2 linked regions of the Lytechinus pictus genome follow. The protein of the gene in region 1 interacts with the protein of each later gene in a biochemical or structural test. Links are inferred from orthologs where the notes say so. Each region holds a gene or a part of one and is shown on either strand. Other genes may lie near its edges.

The links.
Region 2: of the proteins of synembryn-A-like (region 1) and guanine nucleotide-binding protein G(i) subunit alpha, one has a biochemical effect on the other in vitro, tested with the Caenorhabditis elegans proteins (2 studies listed by BioGRID). The link is inferred for Lytechinus pictus from reciprocal best matches to the Caenorhabditis elegans genes ric-8 and goa-1.

The regions. Positions count from the first base shown.
Region 1 is NC_087253.1:23,120,033-23,123,961, forward strand, and holds the start of synembryn-A-like, read left to right. Parts: upstream 1-914; 5' UTR 915-1,324; intron 1,325-2,934; 5' UTR 2,935-3,033; coding exon 3,034-3,123; intron 3,124-3,929. UniProt on the Caenorhabditis elegans protein: Chaperone that specifically binds and folds some, but not all, nascent G alpha proteins prior to G protein heterotrimer formation, promoting their stability and activity.
Region 2 is NC_087247.1:11,665,264-11,669,192, reverse strand, and holds the start of guanine nucleotide-binding protein G(i) subunit alpha, read right to left. Parts: upstream 2,293-3,929; 5' UTR 1,849-2,292; coding exon 1,731-1,848; intron 1-1,730. UniProt on the Caenorhabditis elegans protein: Guanine nucleotide-binding proteins (G proteins) are involved as modulators or transducers in various transmembrane signaling systems. In the 1-cell embryo, probably together with gpa-16, controls nuclear rotation and spindle elongation during mitosis.

The sequences.
Region 1 (3,929 bases):
GGGAAATGAAAGAAAAGTTTGGAAATGAATCAGTGCGGTAGAAATTCAGCTCATATAATAATCAAATTGGTTGAATTTTCATATTAGTAATAAATTTACCAATGTTAAAATGTTAATTTAGTTGTCATATAAGAAAATGTTAAGAATAAATGTAGATCATCTATTAGATGATATCTTTAATAGACCAGACTAACCCTACCTGTTACTATATTAAAAAGGAACTTTCAGGAAGAAACTGAGGAGAGAATGGTGTATGCAATTCATTATAGAGGGAAAACTTTAAAATGTTCTGCGACTATGTTTTTTTTTCCTCAACCAACTAACTGTTAGAGTTTGTAAAGGGCCTTCTGTCACAAAATCATCCCTTTTTGTCTTATATCTTCGTTCAAAATTGTTTGTTATATCATCAATCTCCGAAGTGCGTTTACTGATTATTTTGTGGTCGTCCCATTTCACCCCCATTTTATGTCCAATTTGACCACCTCTTGATGTGCACCCCCCCCCCCCCCCCCCCCCCAATCCGAGGTCGGAAGGACCGCATGCGTGTTCCCAAAATGTCCGGTAAAGGGCCCTTTTTCCCGGGACAAGTCCGGCCCGCGAATTGTAAAAAAGGGGATGTTTTTGTATTTTCACCGGAGATTTCTTCAAAAAGGGGGTGTTTTTTTTTATCTCTCTGACTCTCTCTTTGGAACCCTGAGAAATTTTAAAGGGGGTTAAACGGTTGTAAAATATCTTGAATATCATAGAAAATTTGATCAAATCCCGGGATCAAATTCTGAAATTCCTGCTAGTTTTGAAGGCTCATTCAGGATTATTTCATTTTGAAAAAGTAAAGTACGAACCTTTTGTTGGAATGAGAGCTCACCTGAGATAGGGGGTACATTGAGCAGTGTTCTGGATTTAGGGGGGTCTCCACAGCAGAAAAGGCCATGCAGCGAAAAGCCCTCGAACTGAGGCCGGGTTCAGAAATTTTGGCCGACCTTCGATAGGGGGGTGCTTTCAAAGGGAGGGAACTAGCATAGGCGTACCCTAAATAACACTGAGGGGGGGGGGGGGGGGGGATTGCACCCCGGGCCCGGGGTGTCCCATGTTACCCCCAAAATCAAGTGTTTCAAAAATCATTAATTACACAAAATAGAACTAGATAAGGGATGTCAATACAAACTATATTGTGTGATGCAAAATCAGAACAGTCGATCGACATGAAATTTCTTTGATGTTGATCCTGTTGACGAGCCATCTATTTTTCCGTTGTGCCTGATGAGCTGTTAGTGAGATCAGTGTCTTTCAAATACCCCAAATTAGATGTTCAGAACAGCGTGAGGTAAGTTTAGTTGAGAAATAATGAAACTGATAATGCCAACAAGGCAATCATGTCCCCCCAAAAGGCAAAATGGTCGAGAATCGACTGCACGCAAACCCGCGGCTCAACCATCGATGTCTTGTGGTAGATCTACCTGGCCCGGCACTCGGGGGTGACTCGCGTCACGTCGGCGGTGTTAGGCCGGTAGGCTACCGGCGCGGCCCGTAATCGTAATGGAATGCGGGATATTATCATGTTGTTAAACTTGTACATGCAATATGGCAGTGCTATTGTGTTCGTCCACAACGAATCATCTATTAATTTGAGTATTATTTAAAATTATTGTCATGACTCATGATTGTCTTGATTCGAATTGCACAGCACAGGATCAGGACGGACAGAAACTGAATCGCCAGGTAGCTCTAGCCTCTATTAATTTTATCATTTTTATCAATGGATGATGATTGTGTTGATGACGAAGTCGAAGATGATGATTGACAATTGTATTGATGTCGGTGTTTTGGTCTTGGACTTGGTGGTGGTGATGATGATGAGGAGGATGACGATGATGATGATGATGATGATGCTGATGGGATGGGGATGATGATGAGGATGATGATGATGATGGTGGTGCAGTGTAGCCAGGCGGCTTCTTGAGAGTAAAAATCATTTACTAACGTAGGCTTACTCTAAACGAAGCCAGGGAGTCCTCCCTATTCATCTGCGTGTACCGCAAAAAACCCTGAAACTTTCGCCCCCGAGATTTCTACTTTCCTTCTAAAAGATCTAGCTCTAAATCATGTACATGGGATAAAACTTCATTTCCCACATTTCTACGCTCTCGTTGTTATTTTTAAACAAGAATTCATCAAAAAAAATGAAAAAATATTGTCAAAAGACGGAAGAGACTTGCCCGATGTTTACGCCGCCATCTTGTTTCTTATTGTACTTCCCCAACGTTACGCGACGCTCGCGTCCGTAACGTTGGGGAAGTCAGCCATTGTTATGACTGTAGGCTCAAACATTGATAGATGGCGCTGTCTGTATCGAGGCCTCGCACTATCTAGTGAGACATGTTTTGTTTTTTTCCTGGAAAAAAAGGAGTGAACGTGATGAAATGGTTGCGCTGCTCCCCGATTTACTGGAAAATTATCCTGTCTAGTTCTTTTGGTGATTTGGGTAAGATATTTTCATAAAAAATAATGTGGTTGTAGGTAGACTATATTGGAAATGTATATACGGTAATCAAAGTGAGTTTGCATAGGAATTTTGAGTTTAAATTGAAATCTCATTTCCCCGTGTACTAGATTGAAAAAAAAATCTTGGCAAGTGTCTGTCTGGATAATAGATCCGAATAAGGGGAGGCCGGATAAGAAAGGTGAGACTGTATTACCTTATTTACTAGAAAAGTGCAGAGATCGTCAACCAATTTTTCAGTATTATGTACATACACAGGTAAAGAACACTTTCTTATTGTATTTTTTTCAAAGTTCCAGATTAAAAGCAGATTCGAAAAAGTGCATGCACAGTGATTGCATTCGGCCATAAGGAAGAGACATGCACATTTCATATGTGTTCACAGCACAAACTCTCATCATGTTTTCTTTCTATTTTGTTTTCCACTTCCATAGTGAACAGATTTGAAGAAGTGCAAGTTCTGGTTACATCTCAAGAGGTACAAAGTACATTGTATTTCCAAGGCAAGTTCGTCATATGAACAGCGTCCCAAGATGAACACGCTACTGGTGTCGGCTGTGCCGGCCTTTGAATCTGGGAACGAGACTGAAATCTGTAACAAACTGCAGGAATTCACAAAAGAGGTAAACAAATAATCACCTGCTATAACCTCTGATTCCCCTCAATATAGTATGCTTGTACAATGTCTCTTATTTCCCTCAATACTGTCCCAAAGGAATAAAAGCCAAGCAACAAATTATTAAGAAATAGGCCGATTGTCGATAATTATGCTTCTTATATAACCCTATGGCCCGTATTCTGGAGTCAGGTTTATAGACCATGGTCTAACTCTGTGCTAAAATTATGGGGAACCAAACATTTCAAAAATTCTGTCTATATTATATATTTCTTGTTTTCTTTTTTGTTTTCCTTTTGCTTTCATAATGAAGAAATATACTTCAGTTATCATTCCAAGACAATTATGAACAATTTGGGTGTCATGTGAGTTAATAAAATGAATGTGTACTGTAAAGGAATTTGTGCACAATTGGCTCTCCATAGTTAAACCACAACTTTAAACCAGGGTTTAATTTAAACCTGAGTTCAGAATACGGGCCTATTTTATCTATCCATGGTTTTCCAATGTACCTTTTCCTGATTAAAGATAAATACCAGTTTTGGTAACGATCTCAAAATGAATTCGAACAGAAATCCAATAAAATTACCACCCAAGTGTGTATGTATGAATACAAAATATGTGCCAAGTGGCTCTGGAAGAAAATGAGTAATTGCTGAGAAATGAGCAAAATAAGCATGAAATTCCATCAAATGTCGGGTGTTTTTCCAAGTAATATTAATATCACTGTCCCGCATTTGCTTAGTGATCACAGGGGTGTGGGAGATCAGATTTTTATCTGATTTCAGATGATTTTTTTTTTTTTTAAGCTTA
Region 2 (3,929 bases), on another chromosome or scaffold:
CTACATGTATGTACATATAACCCTCAATTAGGGTCACTACATGTATCTTTAATAGCATGCTATCTTTGCAGTGAACCATGGAGAAAAGCTGGATTTTTCCTTGAGGTCATACTTTTATTGAGCAGCATTTCCAATTCTCCTTCCCTTTTTACCTCCATTCTAAAACCGGTTCTTGTTCTTCTTTGTTAGCTTCAGAGAGATCCTACATATATGTAGATTACATGTAGAATCAAATGGCTGAATTTTTTGTTCAAATATGACAATCGTGAAACTATGCAAATGTCTTGTAGATTTGCTGCAGTGAGCAAAACACCAATCCTTGGTTAAAATGGGACTGGGGCAACCAAAAAAAGAGAGTCAGGCCACCAAAATTCTGTTAAAACCCACACTTGGTGGCCCGATTAGTCCACCAAAATCATCAATTTCATATTTTTTGGTGACCAGCAAAGCAAATTTGGTGTCCCTAAAACAATAGACAACATTACAATTTATCAAGACTTTGGTAGCCCAATCAAGCCACCAAGTGTGGGTTTTAACATAATTTTTGGTAGCCCGACTCTTATTTCTGGTTGCCCCGGGCCAACAGGCCACTGCTTATGTCGAGCCCTGCCTCAAATGTCTACTGTCTCCAGCACCAGAGGCTATCAAAAACCTACAATTTCAAAGACAAAAGTTCTTCGGTTTGGAAGACGGGGCCCTATTTCTTGGACGCATCAGCTCCACACACTCTCTTTGAAAAGTCAAGGTACACCCTGTACAATGTACATGTACATGTAGACAATACCCTAATTCGACAAAGTGCAGGCGCATGGACTTTACACATGTAAAGCACATATCTGTTCACAGACCATTGTTCTCGAGCTTTGCTTTCCATTGAGAGTGAGTCTATCTGGAGTTCTTTGTTTTCATGATGCTGGCCCGTTTTCTTTATTTTCATTTTAATATTTGGGTATTTGTGATTCTGATTGGTGGAACTTGAAGTTTTGTCAAATTCTTAGAAAACATTGTTTTTGATATGATTGAATTTATGAAAGTGATCAGTAATACATCACTTTCCTGCGTTTGTTTTCTTTGTTGGTTATTCCAAATATAAAAGAGCACATTAAATTTTGTTTATGAGTATGACATGTGGGAACGCTGCATTTCATGTCAGTGCAAAAACGCTAACACCACACTTTCGTTCATCACATCCGCACAAAAATGCCATTTCTGCACCGATGTGGTTGGCGATGTTTCGCTAAGGAGTACGGGCTTTCTTGCACCAACACAATTTTTTGCGTAATTGCTTTAGTTGATCTTGTAGCAGCTGGATTTTTTACACATATCTAAGCAACAACTTGCGAACAGTCACAGCTCAGAGTCAGAGTCAGAGAGGTGGTCAGTGGTCAATAGTTACGACTCAAGACAAAAGGTGGATCAAGTGAAAAGCAAGTACCAGTAGCTAACATGATAATAATGTTAAAACATGTTTTAGAATTTAATTTTCATCCATTCATCATATTTTTTGTTATTCTACAGATATTATCATTCATTTGACTTCATACAGCAGCAGCAGTGAACAAGATTCCACACTCCACTGCACTGCTACTGCACTGCCACTGGCCTGGCACTGCACAAATCCAGCTCTGTCACTTCACACTTCATGTTGTTATGACTTATGTTAACACATCATTTGCCTGTGTGATTAAATTTTCATTTTTCAGTAGGCTATGGTGATCCACAATACGTACCCAAGAGCAATAATTTTACTTCTCTAGCTGCTTTTTCTCCTTCTAACCGTAGATTTCTGTCAATCATTTTCGACCGCTCAGCGGCCGCTTTATCTTCTGCGCTCGTAGCGCACCCCATTTTGGAATAATAAAATAACGTTTATGCACAGTCCAGTAAGTTAAGAACAGCCGGTCAGACACTCGGTCTGAATGTCTACAAACCGTCGATATATCCTCTTTATTCTCCAAACTCTAGAGTCCTTGGTAGTTCCATTTAAAATTGGTTATCCTGATACAATTGCACCGTCCAGCAGTGTCCAAAACAAGTTATTTTTCCGCACAAAAGTAATGATATTCCGTTCTGCAAGCCTTTCTTCCGTAGAAATTCACCGTATACCACCACACCCCAGTCGAGTCGCGCGTACACACAATACACGTACACCGTACCGTACCACCGGCACACTTTTGCTACACAAGATCAACGGCGAAGCAAAATCGGTACCCGCATAAAATCGCTCATGATGCTTTATCGCGGCCGACCTCTCAGATCGCAATACGAACGTCGTACATCTCTGTGAAAGGCATTATGGGAAATGTCCCGGATTCGAAGCGATATAACAAATTATACACCAGAATTTCAGAAAGGATAAAAATTTGATTGGGCCTAATAAAAAAAAAATTTGGTTCCTCGACCCACGGATCATGGCCCTGGGAAGCAGGGGGTGCTAAGGGTGCTAAAGCACCCCCCAAAAATTCCTTGGGGGTGCAGTGCCAGTGTGTATACTTTATTATTCTCCTGAGGCAGCACACCTGGTAACTTAAACGTTAGGCCTATTCTGGAAGAATTGTGTAAAAATGTAAAAATTATATTTAGATAACCAAAATGACATTCATTTTGTATTGAAAGCTTTGGCAACTTTTAATCCGCATTTTAACGTTAATTAGGTCTGTGGGAGCCTAACTGTTAGATCTATATCTAGGTTTATCCTCGGTTTTAGAAAATTAGGGACATAAACCATTTGCACACAACAGTAGCTGTAGCAAAAAAATATATATTATCCACGTCGTTTTAATATTTTTATTTGTTTGAACCTATGTATAGGCCTATATAATTATACAGATCTATAGCCATTGTTCTTTTCATTCATTTTTTTCAAATATATTTAAATACAAGAGTTGCAAAAGCTATTGTACATGTATAATTTTTTTCACATTTAACATTATATATATATATATATATATATATATATATATTGTGAAAAAAATGGATGAAGAGAACAATGGTAGGCGTAGCTTAAATCAAAGTTCCCCAGGGGGAATATATATATAGGCCTATATATATATATATATATATATATATATTTCTATACATCTGTGTTTAAGGCGAATTATTTTTGTCTTCTTTCGTTGTTTTTAATGCGCCTTAACGCCATCTACCTTCGTCTTTACGTCTATATGTGTATTATGACAGAATAAACCCATTCATTGACTTCGCCCTTTCGTAGGATGTAGGCATATATATATATACATATATATTTCGGCCATATATATATATATACTCAATATATTCAAGTACAACTGAATATATGTATAATGATTTTTTTTTCTTCCTACTATTTTCATTCCCATTCTTGTTGTTCTTCTCTTTACCCATTCTGTGTACCGCCAATAGAGGGCAGCTTCCATTCCAGCATTGGTCCCTTTCATTTCTGTATGTTATGGGCCTATGATAATTTTTCAGTGCATAGATCAGTATTCCCTTTCCTTTGAAAAGAAAACAAATATTCAGGGGGTAGGGCATTTAAGGCCGTATCGACATGGTGCCCCCCCCCCCCTCTCCCCTCTATCTCTCTCTCCCTCTCTCTTCATTTCCCTTTCCTTTCTTTTTTCTTTTCATTCCTTTTCGGATGTCTTGCTTTCCGGCTCCCGAACGAGCAGGTAATTACACATAAGAGGCGATCAAAGACATTATTCTTGTCCAATTTTTTTTCTTTTTTGTCGATGTTGTTAGAGGGGGGCACAATTCTTTTCCTTTTTTTTGGGGGGGGGGAAATATGACTATGAAATAATAAAACGTCCGTGAATACCCTAAATATCAACCTACACACAAGGACAGGGGCTGTCCGTTTTTAACTTCCCCCTGTTTTCTTTTCTTCGTTTCCATTCTTTTGCTTCTCTATCTCCCTCTCTATTTTCATTTGTTTATTTTTCTTCTCCCTT